5 linked regions of the Rattus norvegicus genome follow. The protein of the gene in region 3 interacts with the protein of the main gene of each other region in a pairwise test. Links are inferred from orthologs where the notes say so. Each region holds a gene or a part of one and is shown on either strand. Other genes may lie near its edges.

Region 1 (5,829 bases), on a different chromosome or scaffold from region 3:
GATGAAGGTGAGGACAGTGTGGGGGCCCAGTCGGGCATAGTATGGTGTGAAGCCCTTCCACAGGCTGAAGAAACCCTCATAGCGGACGACTTTCAGCAATACATCCTAGACAGACAGGCAGGCAAGTGCTGGGGCTAGGACCTGGCCTCAAGCACTCTGTTCCGTATACCCAGCTCCCTTCACATCCCTCCCAGGGCACCCAATACACTTTGATCCAGCTCCCCCTCCCTGCCTCCTCACCAGCCCATTCTTGTACTCTGGCTTCCCATCAATCATTCGCATATTTTGGATCCTGAAAGAGAGGAAATATGAGCATGAAAGATAGAAGGGGACCCTCCCGGAGCTCTCCATCCCAGGCTAGAGACTCACCTAGTTTTGACAATATCCACAGGCATGGAAGCAGCAGTGGTGACCAGGCCACTGATCATGCTGGCGCAGAAGTGGCACAGAATGTTGTCAGAGAAGTAGCCTGGGAGGTGAGGCAGAAGGAGGTAGTCAACTCTCAGGTAGCTCAGGCCGGACTGGGCAGCAAATGCTCAGCCTGATCTCTCACCTGAGTCCAGCAAGAATTGCTTGGATTGGGAGTAAGAAGCAAGTTGGGCAGCATTGACGACAACAGCTCGAGCCATGGTAGGGATGCAGCCCTGGAGGTGGGAAGATGGAGACAACAGAGACAAGAGTCAAAAAGGCCAGAGATCTAACCCAACATCCCCTAAGACTCCAACCCTTTCGCTCACCCGCCACAGTGTGGGGACTCCTTCTTCCCTTGCAATTCTAATTAGGGCATTAAACACATTTTTGTAGCCACGGCGCTGGTCAGCTGGAAGCCTGGGGGAAGGGCAGGGAAAGGCCAAGATCAGGACAGCCCATGGTCCATAGGATCAAAGAAAGGGAAGCCTGAACAGTTAAGTGCCCTGATGTAGACAAAGACAAACGACAACAAGGAAATCATCCTAGATTCCAGGAATGGGGCTGGAGTTCAGCTTAGCCGTGGAACTCACCGGCCATCAGCAGTCATCCTGATGAGGGCCACCTCAGCTGGTGTTCCCACAAATGCACCAGTTGCACCTGCAGTCATGCCAATCAGGGCTTTCAGGAGAAAGCCAGGGGGTGTACCGTCAGCCCCAGTCAGGCGCTCAAACAACACTGTATATATACCAAGACGTGTAGTGGTGTAGGTGGCCTGGCGCAGTAGGCCGGCTGACAACCTGTGGAGTAGAAATGTCAGCACATCCGGCCAAGGTCTGAACCTGCCAACCAGCAACCTCCCTCCCCAACTTGAGGCCACAGTACCCAGTGTAAATGCCCCTCAGCCCTTCTGCCTTCAGGATGCTAGTGAGGGCATGGAAACTGGTTTTGTACTCTCGAGTCTTGGCGCCTTCACCACTCAACTGCATCCGGTTCTTCACCAGGTCCAGGGGCTGCACAAAAACGGTAGCGCCCATCCTTAAGTAAGACAGGGAAGAAATCAGAGGTCAGCTGTTCCAGCTCTACTGTAACCTGGCAGCAAGAAGTTACAAAGGTCAGGGACTGACATGCAACTAAGGATTCAGGAGGCTGGTGGGAATGTGTTTAAGTGTGTGCATCAAGGGAAATGTGCCAGAAAAAGTCCAGTTGCCCAGTAAAGACCACGCAAATCAAAATACTTCGGGCAGTTCTTTAAGGTTCAAGCAGAATTAGGACTACAGGAAGTCTAAGGAAGGGTGGAAAAGGTGTCCTATGATAAAGCCTTTAGTGGCCTCGACCCACAACCCAAACAGGCACAGTGAAGCAATGGTGGTGGAAACACGGGGCAATGACCCTTGAATACAGCCCAGTTGGGCCCCTGCAATGGGTGAATAGATCTTAGCAACCCATCAGGGACCCCGCACCGGCTCAATTTACTGCAACATACTCCCAAGTTGCACTGGGCCCAGTTGCTTGCTCCCATCCCTTCCTCCTTTTTCCCCAATCCTGGGGCCTGAGCTTACCCAGCCAGGCCCCCAAACAGGAACTTGACAGACTTAGGGGAGGTACGGGGTTTCCCGTCCATCCGGCCAGCCCCGGGACTCGCCGTCGCCGCCATCGTCCCTTGATGGCCCTCGGCTTTGGGTCCCGTGCACGCACAGCCCCGCTCGCGCCCAAGGTGACACCAGCGCGCAACAGGGGGAGGGCGCGCGCGCGCACGCCCCTCCGACAGGCAAATCTGGCTCCAGCTGGAAGCTAGGGCGGGCGCAGGCTCGTAGCGCAAAGGCAGCCGGGAATAAGGCGGGGCTAAGATGCAAGGCGAAGGGGCGTGGCCGATTTAGGAAGCTACCCTGTAGCTCCCGCCCCCCAGAATTGGAATCGCGGGAAAAATAGTTTGTTTGAAAATATCGCGAGAGCAAGTGAGTCAGTCGAGTTCGAGCTATGAGGCCTCTCGCGGTAATTTCCAGCGGCGAAGGAGGGGGTAAGAGGCTGGTGAGCATTCTCGCGATACTTGAACGTATCGCGGCGGCCAGAAGAAGGAGAGGTTTGTAAACAGGTAGCTCCAAGATCTCAGGGACTAAGGGAAAAAAATTAGATCGTTTGCTGAGCACCGGAGCTCCCTTCATCTCCGCAGGCACGCTCTACGTGTCGAACATTTCTTTCAACCGGCCTTTTTGGACCGGAAGTCCTCCGTCCTGAGCGTCCAATACTGGAAGCGGCCTTTCTTACCGGAAATCCTTTTCCAGGGGCATAGGAAGAAGGCCTACCTGGCCGGAAGTCCCACCTCCTTGAGATTTCTCCCACCCAGAAGTTATTTTTTGTTACCTGTTTGCCTTCGTTCCTATTCTGTTCTACTTCTGTACCAGAGAAAGATACATTGTCTCCCTTTCCACCTCCACTAAGCTGGTTTGATAGCTCACTTCCCGAATCGGAGTTCCTTCCCCGACGCCCCCATGTAGCTGAGAAGTGGGACCTAGGGGTGGTTGGACCCCTGGGATCCTGAAGGAGAGGCAGAGAAGGCGCAGGACTTGGCTTCTGCTCCTGCTATCAGGACGCGACCTTCCCAGCTTTACCCCTCCTGCTGCCATGCACCCTGCGGCCTTCCCGCTCCCTGTTGTTGTGGCTACTGTGCTGTGGGGAGCAGCCCCTATCCGAGGGCTTATTCGAGCGGTGAGTCTGAGGGTCGGATGGGGAAAGGGTGTTGAGAATGGGTTTCAGACTGGAAAATGTACTGTTTTATCTGCAGACTTCGGAGCACAATGCCAGCATGGACTTTGCAGACCTTCCAGCTCTATTTGGGGCCACTCTGAGCGATGAGGGACTCCAGGTGATGCTTTCCTCATTTCCCTACGTGTATCCTGGGCAGGGGTTAAGTATCCGTGCTCAGGAGGTAGGAAATGGTTGAGATAGCAGTGGAATACATTGGACTGTGGGATACAGTTCAGTGATAGGGTGCTTTTCCTAGTATGAGTGAGATTCTAGGTTGAATCTCCAGCAACCCTCCCCTCCCCCGAAAAAACATGTGCATGATCGTGTCCAGCCCAGAGTCCAGAATCTAGAGATAAAAGACAATGTCCACCCCTAGAACTCCCAGGTATTTTTTTACTTTATGTACTTAGGTGTGAGGGTGTCAGATCCCCTGAAACTGGGAGTTACACTCAGTTGTGAGCTGCCATGCCACATGGGTGCTAGGAACTGAACTCAAGTCCTTTAGAAGAACAGCCAGTGCTATTAACCACTGAGCCATCTCCAGCCCCTAGAATTTCCAAATTTAAGAGGAAGTCTGAGAACAGGTTAAGATAAGGAACAGGTGCTTATCAGCCATGTCTCTGGAGCTACTTACTATCTGCATGGATGGCTGTGGACAGTCTTTTATTGGAAAACAAGTAATAGAAATTAGTTTAGGGCTATTGTGCTAACTAGTGAGATAAGCATGTCTGTAGAGTTCATTACGAAGTTCTTGCCACATAACTACTGCCACAGCAGTAGAGTTGTAAGATGGCTAATTGGAAAACGAAGCAATTGAATATGCTGTGAAAGTCAAATAAGTAGCAAGCTGAATCACTGTCCCTGGGAAACTTAAAAGCAGAACTAAACTAGCCTTGAGAAGTCAAGGGAGCCTCTGGGTAAAGGGATGTTGTTTACTGTAATTGCATCTTCAGGAAGCTAAGAGATCTTTTCTGTTTTTTTGAGACTGGACTCTAACTCTGGCTGTCCCTAACTCACCGACCGTGCAGGTCAGGCTGGCCTCCCAACTCATTGCACTCCCACGTGCTGGGATTAAATGCATGTATCACCATGTCTACCTGAGTTGTAGATTCTGATTTGGGTGGGACCACAAGAATGAGTAATGGTAGAGTTGCCGAATACAGGTAGTATGTGTACTGTTATGTTTAGTAGGTCCTGTGGAAGACAGAATACTAAAAGATGGAAAAATCTGTTTGCCTTTATCCCTCAGGGGTTCCTTGTGGAGGCCCACCCAGAAAATGCCTGCAGTCCTATTGCCCCACCACCCTCAGCCCCAGTCAATGGGTCAGTCTTTATTGCACTGCTTCGAAGATTCGACTGCAACTTTGACCTCAAGGTTGCTGAATGGGGAACGGGTGGTAGTAAGCAGGGTAAAATGACACCAGGAATGAAGAAAGGCAAGGTTTGCAACTCTGTCCTGCTTTGTCTTTTTAGGTCCTAAATGCTCAGAAAGCTGGGTATGGTGCAGCTGTGGTACACAACGTGAATTCCAATGAACTTCTAAACATGGTGTGGAATAGTGGTGAGGATGAAGAAGTCTGTACTGCTGGGTCTCTCCATATAGTTCAGTGGGAGGGCTAAAGACCTACAGGGCAGTTGGTTGAGACCTGCAAAATGTGCCTAAAGCCAGTTTCAGGGGATTGAGGAATGGAAGGTTAAATCCCTAATCTCCTGCTCCCTACAGAGGAAATCCAACAACAGATCTGGATCCCATCTGTATTTATCGGAGAGAGAAGTGCAGAGTACTTACGAGCTCTTTTTGTCTACGAGAAGGGGTAGGACATATGCTTTCTTCCGTCTTCTTTTGGGTTCCATGCCAGTCTGGAACCCAACTTCACTGCCCTATCCACTCAGGTTCAGGGTCTTCCTCATCTGTTTTGATTTTCTCATTTATGCCTTGTCCCAAGCCAGTAACCTTAGTTTGCCTGGCTTGAGACTGTCTTTTTTTCCTCAGGGCTCGGGTGCTTCTGGTCCCAGACAATAGCTTCCCCTTGGGCTATTACCTCATTCCTTTCACTGGGATTGTAGGACTGCTGGTTTTGGCCATGGGAACAGTATTGGTAAGTACCTAAGGAAAGAACTTAGAAGGTCAGACTGGATCTGTAGATGGGAGGTCTTATTGGATTTTCCAGTTATTTCTTAAGCCTGGTCCACTTTTCCTTACCCCTAGATAGTTCGTTGCATCCAGCACCGGAAACGGCTTCAACGGAACAGACTTACCAAAGAGCAACTGAAACAGATTCCTACTCATGATTATCAAAAAGGTAAGGGCAGGGTTGGGGATTTTAGCTCAGTGGTAAGTGCAAGGCCCTGGGTTCAGTCCCCAGCTCCGAAAAAAAAGAGAAAAAAAAGGGTAAGGGCACTGGAATGGGACCCTTTCTCCTGGCTGCCCTCGCCTTGAAGGATTTTTGAGCCCAGTAAGTAGACCAAGGGTTCAAAGAGCCAGAAAGATGCCCCCTTTGGTTGTTTCTTACCAACAACTAACCACAAGCAAAGGAGCTAGGGTAGGACGGGCTAGAAAGCAAAGATGAACAAAGGAAATTTCTGGCCTTGTGTATGGGGGTGTAGAGTAAGATGTAAAGAGCTGAAAGAACTCAGAGCAGGTGAGGGCTTGGGTTTTCTAGACTTGTAGCC
Region 2 (5,725 bases), on a different chromosome or scaffold from region 3:
ACAGAGACGCAGTGGCACACTGTCACCCACAGCAGTCTGAGTTTCCCTAGACTTTTAGGGACTTAAGCTCAGACGAAATGGATTCCTGGCTTCAAGCAAAAACAACCATTCCAGGGCCAGTCAATATGATGAGATGGAGTTGGAGATTTTTATTATAGATATTTTAGAGGTTGGAGGAGGCATTGGGAACAAACTAAGACTCGCCCTAGTGTGGGTATAGGTTCCTCCGGGGAGCATAGCAATTGATTGGCTTAGCATTAGCTAGGCCAATTAGGTGGCTTTCATGCTAAATCTCAAGCAGTTGCTAAGATGCCCCCCCCTCATTTGATATGCAAGATCGAAGATGCCTTGGAAGGAGTTACAATCTAGAAACCCCAGGGCTGCATAAGGGGGCTGGTACATGCAGGTTGTCTGTAAAGGAGGTTTCTGGTGAGATTCCTAGAAAATTGCAGGTTTAAAGCTGGGAAGGGAGGAAGGCCTTGGGCAATCGTTAATGGTGCTGGAATTATTTTTTACATTTCTTTATTTATTGTGTACATGTTGGGAATATATGAGCCATAGTCTGTGAGCAGAGATCAGAGGACAGGGTTTGACCGTTGGTTCTCTCCTATCCCAGGCACTGAGCTCAGGTTTGACAGCAAGCGCAAAGCTTTACCGGCTATTTTACCACCCTTATGCTGGAATTCTTTTCTGGCGAGAGGCTTTGACCAAACTGCTGAATGAGGGACTTGTTTTTCCTGTCCCAACATTTTTCCTGCCTCAACAAATATTTCAAATTTTATCCAATCAACTGACTATTGCCATTAGATCATTTTCATTCTTTTGTTATTTAAAAACAACTCAAAAGAATATTGATTTGGGTCAATAGATCTATTTTGAGGAATTTAAGAATAACCTATAGGACACTGCAAGGAGAACTCAGGCTTTGCAGACAGATGTGCTGGCTAAGATTTGCGGCGTCTCTTGGTTGTTTTAGGAATCAGATGCTGGAGAGAAGTTGAAAGAGTTCTCGATTAAAGGTCTGATCGCATTTATACCACCCCCAACCCCCGTTTTTTTGAGACAAGGTTTCTCTGTGTAGCCCTTTCTGTACTAGACCAGGCTGGTCTTGAACTCAGAGATCCTGTCTTCCTGTGCTGCTTGAGTGCTGGACCGAGGGTATTTCTTAACCTGAGCCCATTTTCCCTCCTGAAGCCTGTACCGTGGCAGTGTTGAATGCAACAAAAGGTGGTCTGGAGGGGCTGGGGCGGAGCTAAGTGGAAGAACACTTGAAGCCCTGGGTTTGGGTGGACATGCAAGCATGGGACATGACATATAATAGTCCCCCAATAAAAACAGTTGCAGTTACTACTAAATAAACAGTATGCTGGTTTTGGGTGGCGATGGTAGAGTTATTTTAGCGATTCAGCTGGTGTAGAGGTTAAAGGTGGACTCTCCAGTTCTCCTCAGCCCTGACCATGTTCCCCATCCCCTCTGGCTGCAGTTTCTTCATCTTTAAAACCCAGGTTTCAAGGTTCTCCGATAGCTTAAAGCATAATGCTTCTTAGTGCTTAATACACATTTTACTTGGCTCCCCATATGATGGCAACGACATCAAATAATCCAGCAAGAGCTGGAGAAACAACTCAGTGGGTAAAGGCGCTTGCCACTATGGCTAAGAACTTGAGTTCCATCCCAAGGACCCATAAAGTAGGAGAGAACGGGACTCTCATATAGAGTCCTGCCCTCTATATGTGCACCAAGACACGCTCTCATAGGATAAGATGTCATTTAACGATAACAGAGCAAGAAAGTCTAGAAACCCGGAAGGAGCTCTCCCACGTGATCACAGCCAGCGCTTGGAACGTTCACGGTCCTCCTGGGATCCCTCCGGTTTCCCTTGAGGCCGCAGTAACGTCGCAACCACCTAGGCAACGTCTTCGGGTCCCCTTCGCCCCATCTCGGTGTCTACTTCCTGCGAGTACGTCATCAACGGGCGCCCGGCCTACGGTTTCCGGGAAGGGCTGCGCAGCTGCGTAGGGGTCGCGGGTGATTTCGAGGCAGCTGGCGCGGCTCGGGGTCGCCATGGAGAGCGGATCGCGGCCGTCACTCGGTCAGGTCATCCTGCTGGGCACCAGCTCGATGGTCACCGCCGTACTGTACTCCATATACCGGCAGAAGGCCCAGGTCGCCCAGGAACTCAAGGTCAGTGCGGAGTCCGCCAGGACTCGCTGGCTGCTCGCGCCCGGACGCACTGGGGAACCACTGGGTCGCCAGAGGGGACCCCAGCCACCTGCTGCATCGAGGCTGCCCCGCCCCTTTGCTCCGGTGTCCTCCGAGTTACCCTCAGTGTCATTGGACGTCACCGCAGTGCTGTAAAGCTATTTCTCGAAAACCTGCTGTGCACCAGGTAGTGAGAAAAACAGGCCATTGTCCTGGTGGAAATTCCATTCTAGGATAGCGGGACGTCTACACGTAATCGGATCGTGTGATAGGGTGCGAATCGGGTTGGAGTAGCGTAGAGAAAAGTGGAAGGGATAGGGAAACGGAGAGTTCCGTTTCTTTTGCTATAGTAAAATATTCTGACAGAAAGCAACTTAGGAGACGGAAAAGGGTTGTTTACTTTTCAGTTTCGGGTTACCATTAATCATCGCAGGGAAATCCAGGCAGGAACTTGAGGCAGCTGTCAAATCAAACAAACGCATGCGTGCTTAGCGCTCAGTTTGATTTCTCTACTGTTCACCAACCCAGAGCCCAGACCAGGGAATGGTGTCAGTCACAATACAACAGGCGAGTTTCCCCGCTTTTGTTAGAGCTGTCAGGACAGCATCTTAACAACTATGCCTACACAGGCCGACCCGATATAGACAGTTTCTTATTGAAACACTCTTTCCAAATGATTCTAGGTTATGGCCAGTTGATAGTGGGCGTCGCTGTTTTTTTTGGGATGGAGCTGGAGGATGTGGAGATTGGGAATGGCGGGATGATTCTAACTCAGAGAACAGCAAACTTAGAGGCTCCTGGTTTCTACAATCGTATTGTTACTTTAAAGTGTACTTTAAAACTACCTTCTCATTTGAGGGTTGCACTTAAACACCTCACAGCACACATTTCCGTCTCGGTTTTATTTTTGTCAGCTCAATGGTGACAGTGGGTATTTCCTGATGATTGCACATGAAGACATTTGACATTGAAAGGAAAAGTCTCACAGCTAGTGTTAACTGTCAACTAAGCAGGATCTGAAATCACCTAGGAGACAAGTTTTCTGGGTGCACCTGTGAGGCTAGTCTCCATTAGGTTAATTTTGATAGCAAGATTTGCCCTGAAAGTGGGCAGTGCTGTTCTCTGGGCTTGGGTCCTTGACTGTGGAAAAGGGAGAGAGTGGGCAGAACAGAGATGTCCAAGGCTCTGTTTCCTGAGTTTGGATATCATGTGACCAGCTGCTTTACGCCCCTTTACCTCGACATTCTACCTTAGTCAGAATTGCTCTTAAGGTGATGAGACACTGTGACCAAGTGATTTGGCTTATGCTTCCAAATCACTGTTCATCTAAGTCAGACAGAACTCAAACAGCACAGGGGCCTGGAGGCTGGAGCTGATACAGAGGCCATGGAGGATGCTGCTTACTGCTTTGCTCCTCATGGGCTGCTCAGTCTGCTTTCTTACAGAAGGGGAATCACTAGCCCAGGGGCAGAGTCACCCACAATAGACTGGGGCCCTACCCTCAATCTCTAGTTAAGCTGGGTTTTAGGAATTTTTCTCAATTGGGGTTCCCTCCTTTCAGATAATGCTAGCTTGTGTCAAGTTGATGTCCAACTAGCCACCTCCCCAGATTGATTGAGCATATCCTTGAACCGTGAAAAACCCAAATAAACACTTTCTCCCTTAGGCTGTTTTCCTCCCAGTATTTTATCACAGCGAGAGGCATTGAGACTAAGCCAGCTTGGAACTTAAATTTAGGTTTTTGGGTTCAAGGGTAGTATAACAGGCCAGACGGGAGTGAAGACTTCTATTGTGTCTTTCCCATTGACTATCAGACTATTGAAACAGTGGACTCCAAAAAATTGAAACTTCCCCCAGGAAGTTCCTGCTGCTGGGAGAAGGAGAAGCCAAGGACCTAGGGGTAGCCATAGGGAGAACTTGTCAAGATGGCCTTTGTAGGAAGGACTGGGTCTGAGGCCGTGATGCTGGGCAGGACCATATCTTAACCTGACTGCTCAGTTATGCCATTTAAGCCTTGTTTCCTGCAGGAGAGATGGCTCAGTTTAAGAGTACTGGTTGCTTTTTTTAGAAACTGTTAGATTATCAGCACGCACATGACAGCTCACAAATCATTCCTGACTCCAGTCCCAGGGGATCTTTTGGCCTCTGTTGGCTGTCAGGCATGTACATGGTACACAGACCTACATGCAGGCAAAAACACCCATATAATAAAAAGTAATAAAGTAACATTTTGCAAAGCCCTTACGTTTGTGTGAGGACCCAGAGGTAAAGTTGGGGTCAAGCCACTGCTATCTATGCCCTCGCTTGCTTTTCACTGTTGATTTAGCCTTTTTAGTTGGCTTATTTTTTTTTGTTGTTGTTTTTGTTTGTTTGTTTTGTTTGTTTGTTTGTTTTTGGAGCTGGGGACTGAACCCAGGGCCTTGCGCTTCCTAGGCAAGTGCTCTACCACTGAGCTAAATCCCCAACCCCTTTAGTTGGCTTATTAAGGACCAGCGGCTGAGGCTGGCTAGTTAGGAAGACAATGGCATGGCTCTGGCCGTAACTCCGGCAACACTATGCTCTTTTCTCCTTTCTTAGTGGACCGCATCGCTTTGTGGCACCTGTCAAGCCGACTCAGAGAGATAAATGCATTCGACAAGCAGTAGATGCTCAGTGCATGTTGGTGGTTTTATTTTTGCTTGAATTTCACAGTCCATCAGCCAGGGGCTCGTTGTAGCATTTGTATGGAAGGTAAACTCTGGAACCCACATCTTCTTATCACCAGATTGATTTCAGTAAGGGCCCAGAAACAAAACCGTGGAGTTCCTGCAGTGAAAAGGGTTGGATCAGAAGTTCACAGTGCTAACAAGGCAGAGGCAGGTGGATCTCTGAGTTCAAGGGCATCCTGGTCTACTTAGTAAGAGGCCAGCCAGGGTCACATAGTGAGATCTTGTCTCAAAAACAAAAACAAGCCAAACAAAACCAAAAAACCAAACACAAAACCAAAAACACCCAGAGTAACCAACAGAACATGTTGAAGGGCACCCTCAGATGCACGCTTTTCTGGGCCAGCCTGTGGTACCTGAGACTTAGTTCCTAAAAGAGTGAAATAACCCTTCCTGGGGAAAGCCGTGGGAGCCCTAATGTTAGATTTTCACCTGTTGGTCAGAACGAAACTGAGAGAGCTGAATTTGTACCTTACTCTGGTGTTTTTGTCGGTGACAAGAATGCTTGATTATTTTACGGCTTCCATGTGTCAGCTCTGGACTGTATTTTCCCATACCCCAAAGTTCATTTCTCCCACCTAAAGAATTCCATGAGATGTCTTCTCCCTTCCTTTAGAGTTTTGGAAGCAGGCTCAGAGGAGTGAAGCTGTTCGAAATCATCAGGGATACCCTGCAGCTTGAGCTAGCCTGGCTCTGCTGAGGTTCCTCCTGCAGGGTGCCAAATGGTTAGCGCCTTGTTTATTTGAATGTAAACGTATTCACGTGAAGGGAGTGTTTTGTTGAATTGGAAAGCAGATGGTGACATCTCCAGTCTTGGG
Region 3 (5,803 bases):
AATGCTCTCCAGACACAAGCAAAATCAGCACCATCACACTAATCTCAAAAGCACAAAATCCTGTACTCACAAGCGCACAATGTGTACATGCCAGAGTCTCTTTTCTCCCCTTTTTACTTAGTTAATGTAGTTAGTGCACTTTTAGTTGGTGCACTTCAAAAGATAAAAGGAAACGAATGCAGCCAGCTTCTTGGGCTGTAACGTTGGTTCATGCGCGATCATTCATCCCCGAATATCCAAACAACAGAATTTATTTCTTACCTGCAGTTAGGAGGAGGATCAAGGGTGATCTCAGCTAGCTCCTTCTGAATTCTGTTAGTGAAATGAGAACAAACCAAAAGGATCTGAGGTAGTCTACAGAGCAACCGGGGAATTACACTGCCCTCTACCACCATGCAGTTAAATGCAAGGCTGGCTTTGCCTTCAGTAATGCTAACATGGCTGCTTCCTCTTTGTTCTCAGAGGCATAACCCAAATCCCTTAGCAGAAACTTTGCGGCTCTTTTTCTCACGTGCAACTGTAAATAAGTGAGTCATTTACACCTGATTCGGGAAATAGCCCCTTCTGACTACTCAGTGAAGGATATATAATCTATTAAAAAACATTTTTTACCAAAGAAATTCTCTTTTCAAGCTTATATGCAAATGAGACAAAAAGGGAGGAGGGAAAACACCAGAGAATTTGACAATGACTTCAAGTCACTTTTTACTGAGCTAAAAATTAATAGACTGCTACAAGAGCATATTAATGATTTGGGCAATATTTTAGCTCTCAGAAAAGTTTAAAATTTGTAAATATCTTTGCCAATGAAAATTTCAAAGTAGCATTCATATTAGCTATGAGTGTGTCTTCTCTGATTTTAGATACACCTTTAAGGGTCAATAAATCTGCAGTGGGGAAGAAGATAGATAAATATATAAGCAAAAGGCAACTGGCTGATTTTCTTCAAATTCAGGGTATTTTTCAAAACTCGGAACATGTTTAATATGTTCCTCCACAAGATTACAACAAATTGGACATTTCAGATTATTTCAAATAGTGTTCCTGGTTAATAAAATATTCTAAAGCTGTTAGCATTTGAGTGATCATTAAAGTTTGAATCACAATAAAAATGTAACATCTGATCAGTTTTTACATTTTTCTTCCTTCATTTATACCCTACGAAAATCAACGAAACACCTGTCCTGGGTAAAGTGGGCACATTTCATCTTAATCACTGGTTTCTCTGGACAACCCAACACTGCTACCACTTGGGAGTTCCACTGGCAGAATCTTTCCAGTCACCACAGAAAATTCAAGCCAATCGTGAACAAATGATCTTTCACTTTGGACTTTCCCCCTGTTGTTAGACTGTCAAGCTCATGCAGTGCTAGAGTGAGGAGGAGGAGGAGGAAGGACGGGGTGGTTTCAGTCACTGGGTAGCACCTAAAATGGTAACTGGCCACTTGTGAGTTGTGTTTGCCCTCACAAGAAGGTGGAATAATAATAGCGCACCCACGGCTGCGCCTGTGCTGCAAGACTTCAGTCCTCTTCCTACAAATTGTAAGCAAAATTTAAGCACACTTTTAAGAGCTGCCTTCCACCATGGCCAAGCCTGGTATTGACCAATTTTCTGGTAAATATTGTCATTTCTGACCATTCAATTTTATGGAGAGAAGCACTGCTGGCCTCTAGATTTGTCAATTTCACCCAAGCATGACTCACAAAAGGAAAGCTCTCCAATGGACCATCTAATTTGGGTTCGCCAAATTTCCCTTGCCAACTCCTTCATCCGTCAGAATGAGCCCCAGCTCTTCTGGAGACGATCCTCGAGTTACCATACCATAGTACAGAACAAAGTACACTTGCTTTAAAGTCAATAGTGCTAGGAAAACTGTATACACACACACACACACACACACACACACACACACACACACACACACACGCCACACGCCACACGCCACACGCAGAATGACAGCTCATTCAAGTTCAAATACGTTTACGTTTGATGGAGAAGTATTTCTGAACTACTGCCACTGAAGTTAAGCCAACAAAAGCAACCAATGGGAGGGAAGTCAAGCTGACAATGTGAGTCCTCCCTTGTAGACATTACCTTTTAGCACTAGTGGATAACTTAGCAGTCGTTTTGCTAGAGAGTTTGGTGTTTTTCTTCTGCTGGGTGGCAGAAGGTTTTCTTTCTTCCTGTTCCTCAGGCTCTGGAGCGGCAGGGTCTCGCTGGTCTGCATCTGAACTACCACTGCTGGTGCTAGGGCTCTCATCATCCGACCTTTGCCTATCACTGGACATCTTGGTGAAGTTATCTCTGGGAAAAACTTCTAAGGAGAGAAGGGACCCATAGAGAAATATTAGATCTTTAAAAAAAAAAAAAAGAAAGAAAAAAGAAAAAAGAAAGAAAGCAAGCCCAGCAGCATGCTCCTCTCTCAATAAGCACCTTTGAGAGTATCTCATTGAAAAGGATTCGAAAGTCCCTGTAATTATTACGGTACAGCAAGGTTACAGGGAGCCTGGCATGTATTATAATGCAGTCGTTGAGGGATTTACCAAATGCAAGTTAGAAAACCCACTCACATTTTTCCCCATCCCTTAGACAATCTATCAATTGTCTACTTTCTCAGAAGGCATGAAACAGATTTGCCAGGGAACTTGGGCAACGGGCATTAATAACATATGACAACTGTAAATAACAGATCTCGCTGAGAATGTTCAGAAGTCACTAATGCCGTCTAAATATTTACAGGCTGACACCGGTCTGAGCTACCAAATCCTCCTTCCCAGAGGGAAACATACCCAGTTAGTCGCCCATATGCTTATTTACGGTGGCGGGTCCTCCCGTGCGCACCGAAAGCCTTTGAACACAGCACTCGAATTAAAAAAAAAAAAAAAATCCAACTGGCAGCCACCCCACAGGCGTCCCCACGGCCGGCGGCGAGGCTTCACCGGGCCAAGCCCGAGCTGCCACCCAGGGAAGGGCAGGATCCAAACTGCACCTTCTGCAAAGCTCCGGGTGCCATCGACGTTCCCCGCTCAATTCCTCCCTCACCGACCGACATTTTGTCAAAAAAAAAAAAAAAAATCCGCAAAGCGGCCAAAAGCCCGAGGGCAAAACAAACAAACAAACAAAAGCCCTCCCCCACCCCGCACCCCCAGAAGTGCAACAAATTGGCGCCGCCCGCCCCGGGGCTAGCGCTGGGCCACGCAGCTCCGCGGTCCTTTGTGGGGAGGGCCGCGCAGGGGACCGCGCCACTGCGCCCGCCCGCCCGCCCGCCCGCCCGCCCGCCTGCCGGGGGATGCGGGACCCGCCGCCCCGCGCCGCTGACTGACGAGCGCGGCTGACTGAGGAGCGCGGCGCCCGGCGCGAACAAAGCTGCCGCCCCCGCCCCCGCCGCCCCCCACGCGGGCCCCGGCCCCGCCGCCTTACCTCGGCCGCCCGCCCGGCCCGCTCGTGCGCCGCTACGCTGTGGGGGAGGGAGAGCGCCGAGGAACCTTCCTTGAGGAAATGGAGGCAGCCTGGGGGGGGGACCGGGGGGGCGGGAAAAAAAGCCGCCGCCGAGGCTCCGGCCCGGGAGTGTGGAACATCGAAAGTCGCAGGCGGCCGTGCAGTGCCGCGCTGCGGCCGGAGGGTGGCGCCGCCCCGCGCTCCGGGAGCCACGGTGGGGTGGGCGCTCCGCCGGCCGAGGCGCAGGGACGCGGGAGCCCCCCGCGCGCTCAGCCTCCCGCCGCCCCGCTCGGCTCGGCTCGGCTCCTCCCGGTCGCGCAGTCAGCAAGTTCCGAGCGGGCGGGCGGGCGGGTGAGCGAGCGAGCGAGCGAGCGAGCGGGGGAGGGGCGGGCGCGGCGGCGGCGGCGGCGGAGCGCGCGTGCTCGCCGCCTGCCTGACGGAGGGGGCGCGAGCTGCTCCCGCGCGCCCCCGCGCGAGCGCGCTCCCGCCGCGCCTCCTCTCCACCGGGTTGGGGGGTTGGGGAGGTGGGGGCAGATGCGCACGCGTCCGCCCGCGCGCGGCCCGGACAAAGAGCGCGGCGGGGACCGGCGGGCTGGCCCCTGCGCCCTTGGCCGCCGAGCTCGTACTGGAAGAGGAGGAGGAGGAGGCGGGGGCGCGGTCTCGCGGGGCCGCGGGTGGCTTCCGGCCTGAGCCCGCCTCCGGGCCGACGCTGCCCATTGGACTACCCGCCCCTGAGGTTAGGGCCGGGCGGTTACCCGGGAATCCCGTACCTGAGCGAGAACCCTGGCGCGTGGCTGGGGCTTCCCCGGTGCCCTGAGAGGCAGGAGATGAATGGTGTTATTGAGGAGGCCAGGCACGCAGGCAAAGGAAAGCTGCTTCTGGCCCCTCTGAGCTGAAAGAAGTGTGGCAAGGTAAAGAAAAGTCTTGGGCCCTCAGCGAGGTGGATGGGATTTCGAGACCAGGGGACCAACATCAGCTAATCTCTGGCTCCCATCCTGCAATGTCGCTGCCAAAGGGGACTGCCCTCTGGACGCTTTGAAAACTAAAAAAAATCCCAAACTGTTTTTTAAATGTCCCGCTCAAGATGTACAAAGTGGAGTGAGGAAGTTTAGGGGTTATAATCTGACAGGTCTGGCGGCAGGCTCTGCTTTGCAAGAGAGTCACCACTTAAGGATAGAGAATCCATGGAGGGTTCTAAGGCAGTGTCTTCATTAAAAGTTTTAGATAGGGATCCTGAAGGTGGCTTTACTCCTGCCTTTCTTTTTGCAGAATCTTCAAATGGAGGCCACTTTTGCCCCAAGCACAAAATAGACAGAAGTACAGAAACTTCCTGTTTGCAGCTCCTGAGACCATGTTCCGGTGATGGAACCTCAAAGGAATTTGTGCATTCCTCTCCCACAAGTGTCCAGGGGCAGGGGTGCTGGGAGAATGAGTTCACAGAAGAAGCTAGAACAGCAGAGCCATAAGAGATAAGACAATGTGCAAGAGAAAGAAAAAAGAGAGTGAGCCAACATACGAGTTTTCCTCCAAATAGGAAAGCTTTGGTAAAAAGGCTACTCGAAACTAAATAAGTCACATCTGTAACTTCAAAGACACCCATTTGGCAAACTTACACAAACGGGTTATATGCTAGTATATGCTAGGCACATAAACTCCTTCCAAAAGTGTGTCCAGAGCCAAGTCTGCTCACTTCCTGCCAAGAGGTCTAAGTCTGGAAGAGACCCCATCACTGACATTCACCTGGATGGGAAGAAGGAAGGATATTCCAGTTTGAACAAAGTCGTGTCAGAAGAGAGATAGTGATCTGTCTGTGGATCAATGCCCCAACACTTTGATTTGACTGAATGAAAGGGTTCAGATGGACGGGGTCTGAATCAGAAAACTCCCAACACTACATTAAGGAAAGGGCTCTAGAGCAGCAGCCTGCCAGTTTGGGCATTGTTTGGGGAGGCAGCCTTGGCTTCTGAGGGAAATTCAATACCCTAGAAGTAGCCTGAAGTTTATTTGGTGAGTTTGGATTCATGGAGTCCGATCGTCAGAATACTTGGGAACTACCAAATTCTTAAGCAGTTGGTGATGTACTTATTACTGCTCAGTGTGTAGTTGGGCAGAAAGAAAATAAAGACTGAGAAATGGTTTATTACAGGAGAATGAAAATGGGATTGGAACAATATTGACCACCAATTAAAAAGTAACTGGTTCAGAAGCAGCCTTTCTGTGGAGAGTGGAAACAACTGTATACAAAGTCGAGAAGTGCCCTGTGCTAGGTCCACAGGATCTAGAGAAGTATTCATTTATGTGAGGACAACCTTTATGTAATAAAAGTTTCTTTAAAGTTAAAAAAAAAACAAAACTAACTATTGG
Region 4 (6,045 bases), on a different chromosome or scaffold from region 3:
TCTGAGGGAACATAAAGTTTATAAAATGTTAGAATGTGTTACCAAGTTTTATCTGATACATGCTATTCCAGTGGGATGAAAACCATTTACAAGTTCCATTTAGATTAAAAAATTCCTTTGGGGAATGTATGTAGTACATTCTAGTTATACTGTTTCTAGAACAGCAAAAACCTCTATAACCTATTTCCCTACTGTTTTGGTTTCAAAAACCAACTTAGATCTCTATAGTTTCTTCACAAAAAGTCAAGGTGATATTATAGGTAATGGGGGGGGGGGGGGGTTGGGGATTTAGCTCAGTGGTAGAGCGCTTGCCTAGAAAGCGCAAATCCCTGGGTTCGGTCCCCAGCTCCGACAAAAAGAAAAAAGAAAAAAAAAAAAAAAAAAAAAAAGACCCACACAGTGGAGTGAGATATTATAGGTAATGACAGAACTATATGAATTTCCAGCAGAAACAAAAGCTTTCTCAAATTTACCCTATCTCACATGGTCTACAAAAACAATAACAAAGTTGAATCAAGAATTACTTGTAGTCACATTAAAAAAAACAAAACATTAAAGTGAAAAGTGCTGCCTCATTTTTAAAACAGGGAGTAGGAAGGAAGACAAAGAAAAGCTTCTAAATCCAAACTACTTAAATGAATTGTTTTTCATTCTCTTAGGACACAAAATCCATTTTACAGAAACACTCTCCTGAAAGCCACTGTTTAACATGCAGGAAGCTCCATGGTCTTGCCACACAAATAAATAAGTAAAATTCTCCTAATGCTAGGAGCTCACCCTTTGGCAATGGCCTCTGTCTTTTACAAACTAATGAGTTATCCAGTACTGGTTACTTGGTGGTTCACTCTGTAATTCCAGCCTAAGGAAGCTGAAGCAGGATGACTGCCCTGTGCTTGAAGACAACTTTCACAGTCAGTTCCAGGATGGCCTGTGCTAGTTAAGACCACAAAAACAAAGTAATGGGTTACAAGCTATCTCTAGTATTTCCATCTAGAAGTAAGTTGACAAGTGTCACAAAACACTTTTATTTTGTTATTTGCTGTTTGATTATATCTCTCATCCTAATCAAATTAAAGGTTTGTTGATGCAAGTTTCAGAAAAATTATATGGTAAACCAACTTTAAGTGACTCATGTTTAAAATCCTTATACAAACAATCTATTCATTTGAAGACTTCAACTACTTGATTAGCAGAAATAATTCCAAAGTATCAGAGAAAACCATTAAGCATGAAGCCTCCATGTTAAATATGTTACAAATAAAAACTACACAGAAATATTTATAAATTTCAGCATATTTCCTCCTGTCAATATGTCAAAGAACTTTTTACATCTTCTCTATGCTAGAAGAAAAGGAGAAATTACTTAAGGTATTTAGTGAGCAAAATAGTCTTGCAAAAGAAAAGATGTATTAAAAAAAAATCATTCACCTCCTTCTATCAGACAAACAGTATTCTCCTTAGAACATACTGCTTACAATTCAGCCGAGTGTGACTGCCAAGAGTATCTAGACAAGATTGTTCAAAGTGGCAAGCTTTTCCACCAGCATCTACTTAATACTTGGAGTTAAAGGCAAGTTATGGATAAGCTAAATGAAAAGTATTATTTTCTCTTTAACTTCAAAGTATAGCTAAAAACAAGGTATGCTTATTTAAAATGCTTCCAATTTTCAGAAGAATAGGGATTTATTCAGTTTTGCCAAATAGAGACTTAAGTGGCTGAAATAAAGAGCTCTGGCCACAAGTGAAAAGATGAAGAGTCTGGTGGATGTCTACAAGTTCAAGGCCAGCTTAATCTACATTGCTGGTCAGTCAGAGCTAACATAAAGACCCTGTCTAACAAAAGAAAGAAAGAAAAAGAGGAGGAGAAAACAAGAGGAAGAAGGAGAAGCTTTATGAGCAGCTTTTCTAATATTAGTTCACATTTTTAAAGACTTTTTCATAGTAACTTAATGCAATATCAAATCTAAGAATATTCAAGCTTTACAGGTGAAATATGTAAAACTTACAATAACTCAGTAATGTGCAAAAGTGACTAGAGGAACTGCATTTGTATTTACACTTAAGCTGTAAATATTTTTCCCCAAATAAGGGACATAGTGTATCATGAGAATGTCACTGTGACTTTAAATATTTTTACATATATATTAAGAACACAGTGTCTTATGTTCAATGTGTTTGTGCTGTTCTGGTAATTCTTTATGTCACTGTGGTGTATTACAGCAAAGGCTCTAACTTCTGGTTAAGCAAACTAGTACATTTCAATTCTGTTCACTGTACTGTAGAGACCATAAGCCACTCCTTGCTCTTCTAGTTCTGACTACAGGTTATAACAGCTAAGTACCACAGAAAGCGTGCATATGCACAGCTTTGTCACTTCTTTTCTCAGCCCCCTTCTTTTCTATGGAAAAAAAAAGGAATTTAAGTTTACCCCAAAATATCAACTTCTCTTTTACATACATTCCCAATGTGTTTTTCCATACAATTTATTCTGATAATTCCTATCCTAGAAACGTCAAAAGAGGGAATTTCACGGATCAAAAGGGGAAATAAATGTTATCAATTATCATAACATCAATATAACGGAGCCAATAATTGATACAAAAGGAATCTGTAATCTGCAGACAGTCAAAATACCACTTGTATTTGCATGTGATGTTCACGGATGAATTCTGTGTGTGTGTGCCAGATTCACCTGGTTTTGAAATGCTAAGCTGATCTTTATGGGTATAATCAGAGCCAACATCAAGTGTCCTGAGGAAAGGCAATTCAGGAGAGCGCTGAGTGGCATGGAGAAGGTCGGAAATTAAGAAGACAGCGAATGAGCAACGAAAAGATCACAAAACTCAAAACATTCATTTCCTGAGTAGCCTGAAGAAAGATCTTTTCTCTTAACGTTAATAGTCTCCTACTCACTTCATTCACTTCCTAACTTCCTTTACTTTTCAAGGAACAACAAGGGGCATCATCTCCTCTTTTCTGGGAATGTGTACTCAAAGAATCTGCATAGGAAAGAGGGAAGGAGCCGACAATTCTCAAGTAGGTTGAGAAACAGGTGGATTACACGGAGCAACGGAGCAGTAACATGATTTAGATACTCACGAGGTGGCTTTAAGATGACAGATGTGGTTAAAGGAGACTTGCACGTCGGAATCAACTTGGGTCTGGCAGACAGACTGGGGACTGATTTGCAAGCACCAGAGGGGGGCAGAGGCTAGAAACAGAGCGGCCTCAGTGGAGGGGACGGGGCAAAAAAGGGCAAAAAAACCCCAAGCACCAAGCAGGACGGGTGGACAGTGAGTAGCAGCACCCGTCAGAGTGGAAGGCTATTGCTTGGGAGACCGGGGCCAGTAGGAAAGGACGTCAGAGGGGAAAGGGGGCTGGGGAAACAGGAGGACCAAGACCTAAGGATACTGTTGCCAGAAAAATGCGGGGAAAAACTGGCGATGAGAAGCCCTCTTGGGTCCTCAATTGAAGAAATTCTCCAAGGAGAGCCGGCGCTCGTCGCCGCGCTGCCTCCAGCCGGGCTGCCTTTTCCTGGTGGTAACTGCTGTGGCGTAGAGGGGAGAGGGAGGAAGAGGAGGAGGAGGAGGAGGAGGTAGCCAGAGGAGGAGGAGGGTGAAGACGAGGCGGGCGGGGGTGGGGGGGTGGGGAGAAAGGGGGGTGCGGCCTGCACAGTCCCAGCGAAGCCTCCGCTCTCTCGTAGCCGGTCAGCGCCGGGTTTCCCCTAAGCCCAGCCCCGCAGACACTCACCCGCCTGCCTTGCCTCGCTTTTCTCTTAGCCGACTCCACGCGTTGCCGAGTCCTCACAGGAGACCAATGAACGAGAGTCGGCGAAAAAACTCTTCAGAACCGGGCCTGACTGCTTCAGTGAGTCCGACCTTTACGGCTGAGAGAGAGACTCTCAGCTTTCGGTGGGTTCCACGGCTAGACGGGCCACCATCTTACATTAGGGTAAGACTCCTCCGGCCTCCGGTGCGCAGGCGCATGCCGATCCGGCTGGGAGGGGCGGGGGAGGGGCGGGACAAGCGGCAGGCGGGCGAGTGGGAGGTTGCGGCGGACTGGTCCGCTGCACCCTGGGAGTTGTAGTCCTCCGATAGTAACCGCCCCGGGGCAGGCCGGGAATTGAAGTCATCACTAGAGAAGGCGCTCGGGAGCTCGTTCCTCACGTGGCTACTGGAGCGCCGGCTTTCTTCTTGTTTTGCTTCCTCCTCTGCCCGCGTGTGTGGCTACTGTGTCATGTGGTCGGCGGTTTTCAGTAATGTTAGCTGAAATGTAGGAAACCAAAATTCTACGAAACTTAACTGATTCGGAGAAAGCGAGGACCTGTCTTTTCTGCCCCGCCTTCTGTAGATAGGTATCTGACGGGGGCGGTGTGGCGGTAGAATCAGGTTGAGCATTGCAAGAGCGCGGGATTTGATCTAGAGTGAGGCTTTGATACTTTTGGGAAAGTGAATGTTAATTCGTTTCCCGGTCTTGGCGCGCCCTGACACCAGTACGGTTGAGCTCATCCTCCTTACGGTAAAATCACTAGTGAAGAAATACCTGAATTGCCTTGTGCACGTTTCTCAAGAGAGTAGCATGCGTTGCTGGTGATGTGAAAAGAATGTGGACTTAACTGCATACTCTTGTTGGCTACGAGTTCAGCCTGCACAAATGTGTGGGTCAGGTTCGCAAACTGCGCAAATAAACACGTCTCAAAGGACATAATGCAACCGCAGCCGGTTCGAGCACCGAGAAACCTTAAGTAACAAAATCAATTTACTGGACTTCCCGGGTTGCCTCCTAGAACTCTGGTGTGAGTGGCGCTTCTGAAGCGGTCGTTCTGTTTAGTGCCTGTATTCCTATTCATGTAAGTACTGAGCTCCTTGGTACCTAGTTCTTTACCATTTGCCGGGAAAATATAAGAGAGCAAACACAAATCTGTCAGTCACCATTCTGGGGTTTGGAGAAGTGAAAGGACACAAGTTTTCAAATCCAGGGTTAAAATACATAGGATGGGACTGTGGCTTGCAGCACAGTGGTAGAGCGCTAGTCTGGCACACTTGAGGTCTGAATGCAAAAGGCTGGAGGGGAGGACTTAAAATAGGAAAGGGGAAAAGTAGGGAAAGAAATTGAAGTTTTAAAATCTCAGTGTCGCTGGACATAGTGGCATAGGCCAGTACTCTGGAGGTAGCAGCTGGTGGATCTTTTTGAGTTCAAGGCCAGCTTAGTCTACAAACCCTGTCGGGGGTGGTGGTGGAGGGGGGAGGACAAAAACAAAAAATTACAAAAAAGCCAGACCGGTTTCTTTGGTATCGAAGAGAAAAGAAAGAGGTTATAGGGGAGGTGGGGGAGTGAACGGGGATAAAAATGACCCAAATTTTATTTTATACACGTATGAAATTGCTGAAGAATATTTAAAAAATATAAAAAGAAGCACACATTTGGACATAGTATTATGAGACTTTGTCTCAAAGTAAAAAAGTTAGGGGCTACAGAGATCTCCCGGCAACCACATGGTAGCTCACAACCATCTGTAAATGGGATCTGATGCCCTCTTCTGGTGTGTCTGAAGAGAGGGATGTGTACTCACATATATAAACTAAATAAAAAATTTATTTTTTTTTAAGTAAAAAAAGGTGGGCTGGAGAGATGGCTCAGTGGTTAAGAGCACTGACTGCTCTTCCAGAGGTCCTGAGTTCAAATCCCAGCAACCACATGGTGGCTTACAACCATCTGTAATAAGATCTGATGCCCTCTTCTGGTGTGTCTGAAGATAGCTAAAATGTACTTATATAGAATAAATAAATCTTAAAAAAAAAAAAAAAAAAAGGTAAAGCCTGGGACATAGCTAAATGGTAAAGTACCTGCCTGGTACAAAACCCTGAGTTCAATTCCAAAAGATAAATTAAAAAAAAAAAATACAGTAAAGTCTATATTTCCATAAACATGATTGTCCCAAAAATATAATACAATCGTCATTTTTCTAGCATTTGGAACAAAATCTTCATGTATGTGAAAGTTATAAATACTAACTGATTCAGGTGTTTTTTGGTCTCTCTCTCT
Region 5 (5,297 bases), on a different chromosome or scaffold from region 3:
ACTAATTTAATGAGCTGTGAATTTTTAAATTGAGTCTTGGTATACAGAAAGTTAAAATTATTACAAACAGTTAAGGGGAAAAGTAGACATGATAGCTATCGTAAAATTCACTTGTCGGGTCATGGATATGGCATGGTGAGTAAGAGCACTTACTGCCAGGCCTGACCTGAGTTCAGTCCCTGGAACCCACATAGTGAGAAGAGAGAGCCAATTCCTACAAATTGTTCTTTGACTTACATATGCATGAGCACTGACACTCTCTCTCTCTCTCTCTCTCTCTCTCTCTCTCTCTCTCTCTCTCTCTCTCTCTCTCTTTCAGTGCAATTAGAAACAAAAACAAACCCAAAAGATACTATTTCAGGGAAGTTAATATAACTTTTAGTTGTCATGTGGCTGAACAGAGCCAAGATACCTTGAGAAAGGCTGCCTTTCTGTGTCTCTTGACCTTTCCTGAAGCACCAAGTTTTGCCTTTAAATTTTGCTGGCTGTCTCTTTTGGGACAATAATGGAGAGGTCTTCTCCAGTAGGAATTTGAAAAGAGTTAGTTTAATAATGAGCAGGATTTCAGATGTTGTTTTGCTTCTTTGTGTTAACAGTTCAGGATATTAAATGGTTATCTGAAGCTTTTGTACTTCTGGGGAAGGAGGTATGTTGAAGGCTCTGCCATAAAGGAAAGCCTCCTTTTACCAGCAATGGGAGTTGAAAGGAGAGGAAGTTAACTAGAGTTGTAGGCCATGGCAGGGTAGCCCCACCAGCTTCCCCATTCTTGAGAGAGCTCCCAACAAAGGAGTTTATCACATAGTGTTCTCTTGTTGTAGTTGATAAGAATACAGTTGGCTAAGAGATAACTTCAGTACTCTGAGATACAGAATGCTCTGAGTTCAAGGACAGCCAGGGCTACACTGGAAAAATCCTGCCTTGAAAAAGGAGGGAGGTCTGAATTCAAATCCTAGCAACCACTTAGTGGCTCACAACCATCTGCAATGGAATCTGATGTCCTCTTCTGGTGGACACCAGATATAATAAATATTAAATATGTACTCATATGTAATAAATAAATCTTTTTTTTTTGGAAGCTGGGGAATAAATAAGTCTTAAAAAAATTTTTAAAAAAGAAAAGAAAAAGGAGGGAGGTGGGGACAAACAGAAGTCAGACAGAAAGGTAGCTAACCCTAGTACTCGAAGCAGAAGCAGGTGGATCTCTGTGAGTTCTAGGCAAGCCTATTCTATAGAGTTCCAAGATAGCTAGGAATATGTAATGAGACCTTGACTCAGAAAATAAAAGATAAAGGTGCAGGTGAGATTGAATTACAGAAACAATGCTTCCTTTTGCTCAGAGTCAGTAGGTGACTGTCTTTACCAGTTCCAGTTACCTTAAAACAGTGGTTCTAAACCTGTGGGTCATGACTCTTTCTGGGGGTTGGACAACCCTTTTTTTAACAGGGTCACCTGAGACCAGTGGAAAACACAGGTATTTCCATTACAATTCTTTTTTTTTTTTTTCCTTTTCTTTTTTTCGGAGCTGGGGACGGAACCCAGGGCCTTGCCCTTGCTACCACTGAGCTAGTAAATCCCCAACCCCTACATCACAATTCTTAACAGCAAACTTACAGTTAAGAAGTAGCAGCGAAAGTAGATTAATGATTGGGTATCACCATAATATATGGGACTGTATTTAAAGTGTTACAGCATTAGGAAGGTTGAGAACCACTGTTTTAAAGGAAGGGATAGCTTATCCCAAAGTTGTCTCATGGACAGCAGACTGGTGTTGTTGATAGGGATGAACTCTAAGAACTGTCCTCTCTGCCTCCCCAGTGCAGAGATTACAGGTGTGCACTTAGCTTTTCGTGTAGATTCTGGAGGAATCAAACTTGTATCCTCATTCAGAACCATCTTTCTATCCATGTTTGACACTGGTCAGGGATAAGATCTTCACTATGTAGGCTAGGCTCACCTTGCTTCTTTTACCTGAGGGCTAGAGTGACAGGTATATCAACCACACCTGGCCAGATCCATTTTGAAAGCACAACTGTACTGAACCTAACTAGTAGACATTGTGTTTAAAATACTTAAAAATATCAACAGTAAGAACAACCCAACAATTATTTCTTTTTTCTTTTTTTTTTCTTTTTCTTTTTTTCGGGGCTGGGGACCGAACCCAGGACTTTGTGGTTCCTAGGCAAACGCTCTATCACTGAGCCAAATCCCCAACCCCCCAACAATTATTTCTTTGTAATCTGCTTTAGAGTGAGACCCAAGTGTTCCTGGGGGTTTTACATAACTAACACATAGTTATGTCTGTTTCTCTAGATGGTAATTTTGATACATGTATATAATGAATATGTGAAGATCAACAGAGTAGCCTCATGTCTATCACAAAAGTCATCATTTCCATGTAGGGAACATGAAGACTCTTACAGCGGAACATGAAGACTCTTACAGCTATTCTGAGATACTCATTGTTGTTGGCTGTAGTTACCCTACTGTGTACTTTGAACTTTTCAAGTCACATACTTTAAGAGGAGAAAATGTTAACTCTAACCCACTTGTATATGTCAGGCTGGCCTCTAGTTCAGAGTCTTCCTACCACTGCCTCCCAAGTGTGGGACTGGAAGCTGTGGGCCACCATGTGCTGCTTGGTTTTCTTTTCTTTTCTTTCTTTCTTTCTTTTTTAAATCTTTTTTTCCATTGTTAGTTTTAATCTGTTATAAAACAATGTAGAAATTTTTGACAGATTGTTACTAGAATTCTGATATTTTCAGTGCTGTGATAGCATACTGTCTCTGGAGTCCTGGTTAGAATTTCAGAGTAAAGAAGGTGTGCTTTCTTTCTTTCTTTTTTTTTTTTCCGGAGCTGGGGGCCGAACCCAGGGCCTTGTGCTCGCTAGGCAAGCGCTCTACCGCTGAGCTAAATCCCCAACCCCGAAGGTGTGCTTTCAAACCTTGTGTTCTCAGTTGTACATAATATAAGAACAATCAAATCTTTAATTTGCTTTTCAAATTTTGTGTGTGTGTGTGCGTGCGTGTGCGCGCGCATGCGCGCGTGTTCTTGCTTGTCTTTATACACCTCATTCTTGCATTCATGTCCATGCCTAGAAAAGGGCCTCAGATCCTCAGATCCCTGGAACTGAAGTTTCAGGCAGTTGTGAGCTACCTGCTTTGGATACTGGGTATTAAACCTAGGTCTTCTGCAAAAGCATCAAGTTTTTAAACCATTGAGCTATCTCTCTAGCCCCAAGAAATAAATCTTACAGTAACATTAATTGTTTATCTTATATTTTATATTTAAAGCTCTAGCTTTACATATTATTTTCTTTGTGCTTGATTTTGTCATACAAAGAATTGCCATTTCCAAATTCATCAAAGACCTTGTTTTTCTAGAGAACTATAGGGATACTTTTTTCATGTGACAAGAAATGATGTTTTCATGAAACTTTAGAAAGGTAAACTCTAATTGTTCTTTACCCAGCAGGCATTGCCAGTCGATCTGAGCAACAGTGCTCTCAGGACTCATGGAAGTGGGGGTTTCCATGGTGCATCTGCCTTTGACCCTTGCTGCCCTGTCTCTTCTTCCCGGGCTGCAGTCTTTGGCCATCAGGCTGCTGCAGCCCCAACTCAGCCATTATCAATAGATGGCTATGGCTCCAGCATGGTTGCACAGCCCCAGCCCCAGCCACCTCCACAGCCTTCTCTCTCATCATGTCGGCACTACATGCCACCTCCTTGTAAGTATGAACTGAGGGGCAAAGAACTAGAGTGTGAAAATGGAATTACACCAGTCCTAGCTTATCAGTATTAGTCAGCTTTAAAAATGGACTTATTTTTCCCATATAACTGTCTATGAAATTGAGATGTATTGAGTGGTACCTTATATTCTTACACAAAAAAAATTTTTTTTTAAGGAATTTGGTTTAAGAGTATGAAGAAATGTGAAAACTTTGTATCATCTCTAGGCACAGTAAAGGAAATCTGTTCAAGAACTCTTAAATTTTATTCAAATATTTCTGAGTCAACTAAGACATAAGAGAGAGGGCTGTGACAGAAGGTCTTGCCATTTGGAAAAAGAGTTTTATATATCATCTCAAATGGGCAGCTACAGCAGAACCAGGCATAGCAGCTATATAAGGAAACTGGAATCTACTAGATTGGGCTATATTACCTAGTATTTTGTTCTTTTTGTTCTTTTTGGTTTTTTTTGTTTTGTTTTGTTTTCCGGAGCTGGGGACTGAACCCAGGGCCTTGCGCTTGCCTAATAGGCAAGCGCTCTACCACTGCGCTAAATCCCCAACCCTAGTATTTTGTTTGAGTCTGAGCTAACTATAAAATGGAAGCTTAACAAATCCTGTTAATAGCTCACGTGAGAGTGGACCAGCGAGTTAGTAAGGAAGCTGTCTTTCATATTGGTTGTGTACATTTCTGTTATTTATCTTGACTTTGTTCTACTTCAGGAGTAAAATCTCTTCCTTGCAGACACATCTGGTAGAATCAGGCCAAACTTTGAACAATAAAACTAGTGACATATTATTTGAGCCTCACTATTACAGTATAAAATACAAAGTTTAAGTTGGAACGTGTTTAGAAACAATTTGTTTTGCAGTTAATGTGAACACTGAGACAACAATGAACTATTCTGTTAAACTTGCTGCTGGTCCTCAGGCCTCCCCTTCCTACTCAGACCTTCTGTGCGGCTTCCTGTCTTTCCCTTATCTATGAGGCAGAGGATGTAATTTGACTGCTGCTATTTGACTTAAAGTAGTTTTATCTTTATCATAAAAGTGTGTCATATATATTCTACTGTTCTTTCTTTCTTTCTTTCTTTCTTTCTTTCTTTCTTTCTTTCTTTCTTTCTTTCTTTTCTTTTCTTTTCTTTTCTTTTTTTTTTTTTCGGAGCTGGGGACTGAACCCAGGGCCTTGCGCTCACTAGGCAAGTGCTCTACCGCTGAGCTAAATCCCCAGCTCCTATTCTACTGTTTCTAAACCAGAATATTGTAAAATGAAAAACTAAAAGTTCTTTTTCCTGTCTCATTAATCTTAGTTCCTCAGAGGAACTAGTTCTTTAGAGTTTATTATAAAAACTCCCAGATTTTTTTCTTTGTAAATATACATAAGTATTCTACCCTTTAAAAAACATTAGCCTTTTCATTATACAGCATCCTGTTATTTTCTTTGATTTAACAGTACATTATTTTCTCATCATACTGACTCATAAAACTCAGTAGTATTTGTCTTTTTCATTCCTTTCCCTTACTTTTTTCAAGAATTGAACTCAGGACCTCTGGAAGAGCAGTCAGTGTTCTT

What was found.
Region 1: the proteins of Ube2e3 (region 3) and Rnf167 interact in a two-hybrid assay, tested with the Homo sapiens proteins (2 studies listed by BioGRID and IntAct). The link is inferred for Rattus norvegicus from reciprocal best matches to the Homo sapiens genes UBE2E3 and RNF167.
Region 2: the proteins of Ube2e3 (region 3) and Mul1 interact in a two-hybrid assay, tested with the Homo sapiens proteins (2 studies listed by BioGRID and IntAct). The link is inferred for Rattus norvegicus from reciprocal best matches to the Homo sapiens genes UBE2E3 and MUL1.
Region 4: the proteins of Ube2e3 (region 3) and Cnot4 interact in a two-hybrid assay, tested with the Homo sapiens proteins (3 studies listed by BioGRID and IntAct). The link is inferred for Rattus norvegicus from reciprocal best matches to the Homo sapiens genes UBE2E3 and CNOT4.
Region 5: the proteins of Ube2e3 (region 3) and Rnf111 interact in a two-hybrid assay, tested with the Homo sapiens proteins (2 studies listed by BioGRID and IntAct). The link is inferred for Rattus norvegicus from reciprocal best matches to the Homo sapiens genes UBE2E3 and RNF111.

Annotation. Positions count from the first base shown.
Region 1 is NC_086028.1:55,856,833-55,862,661, forward strand, and holds the start of Rnf167 (E3 ubiquitin-protein ligase RNF167 precursor), read left to right. Parts: upstream 1-2,421; 5' UTR 2,422-3,033; coding exon 3,034-3,117; intron 3,118-3,193; coding exon 3,194-3,274; intron 3,275-3,297; exon of another isoform or gene 3,298-4,184; intron 4,185-4,405; coding exon 4,406-4,531; intron 4,532-4,629; coding exon 4,630-4,717; intron 4,718-4,879; coding exon 4,880-4,970; intron 4,971-5,149; coding exon 5,150-5,255; intron 5,256-5,365; coding exon 5,366-5,459; intron 5,460-5,829. Other genes in the region: Slc25a11 (mitochondrial 2-oxoglutarate/malate carrier protein), read right to left, coding at 1-105, 241-292, 370-469, 554-644, 738-828, 1,002-1,208, 1,294-1,446, 1,971-2,065.
Region 2 is NC_086023.1:155,934,147-155,939,871, forward strand, and holds the start of Mul1 (mitochondrial ubiquitin ligase activator of NFKB 1), read left to right. Parts: upstream 1-1,965; 5' UTR 1,966-2,064; coding exon 2,065-2,184; intron 2,185-2,213; exon of another isoform or gene 2,214-2,389; intron 2,390-5,725. UniProt on the Homo sapiens protein: Exhibits weak E3 ubiquitin-protein ligase activity. E3 ubiquitin ligases accept ubiquitin from an E2 ubiquitin-conjugating enzyme in the form of a thioester and then directly transfer the ubiquitin to targeted substrates.
Region 3 is NC_086021.1:84,192,215-84,198,017, reverse strand, and holds the start of Ube2e3 (ubiquitin-conjugating enzyme E2 E3), read right to left. Parts: upstream 3,773-5,803; 5' UTR 3,422-3,772; intron 2,319-3,421; 5' UTR 2,290-2,318; coding exon 2,096-2,289; intron 313-2,095; coding exon 262-312; intron 1-261. UniProt on the Homo sapiens protein: Accepts ubiquitin from the E1 complex and catalyzes its covalent attachment to other proteins. In vitro catalyzes 'Lys-11'- and 'Lys-48'-, as well as 'Lys-63'-linked polyubiquitination.
Region 4 is NC_086022.1:64,777,491-64,783,535, forward strand, and holds the start of Cnot4 (CCR4-NOT transcription complex subunit 4), read right to left. Parts: upstream 3,943-6,045; 5' UTR 3,751-3,942; intron 3,565-3,750; exon of another isoform or gene 3,100-3,564; intron 1-3,099. UniProt on the Homo sapiens protein: Has E3 ubiquitin ligase activity, promoting ubiquitination and degradation of target proteins. Involved in activation of the JAK/STAT pathway. Catalyzes ubiquitination of methylated RBM15.
Region 5 is NC_086026.1:80,001,123-80,006,419, reverse strand, and holds part of Rnf111 (E3 ubiquitin-protein ligase Arkadia), read left to right. Parts: intron 1-3,468; coding exon 3,469-3,724; intron 3,725-5,297. UniProt on the Homo sapiens protein: E3 ubiquitin-protein ligase. Required for mesoderm patterning during embryonic development. Acts as an enhancer of the transcriptional responses of the SMAD2/SMAD3 effectors, which are activated downstream of BMP.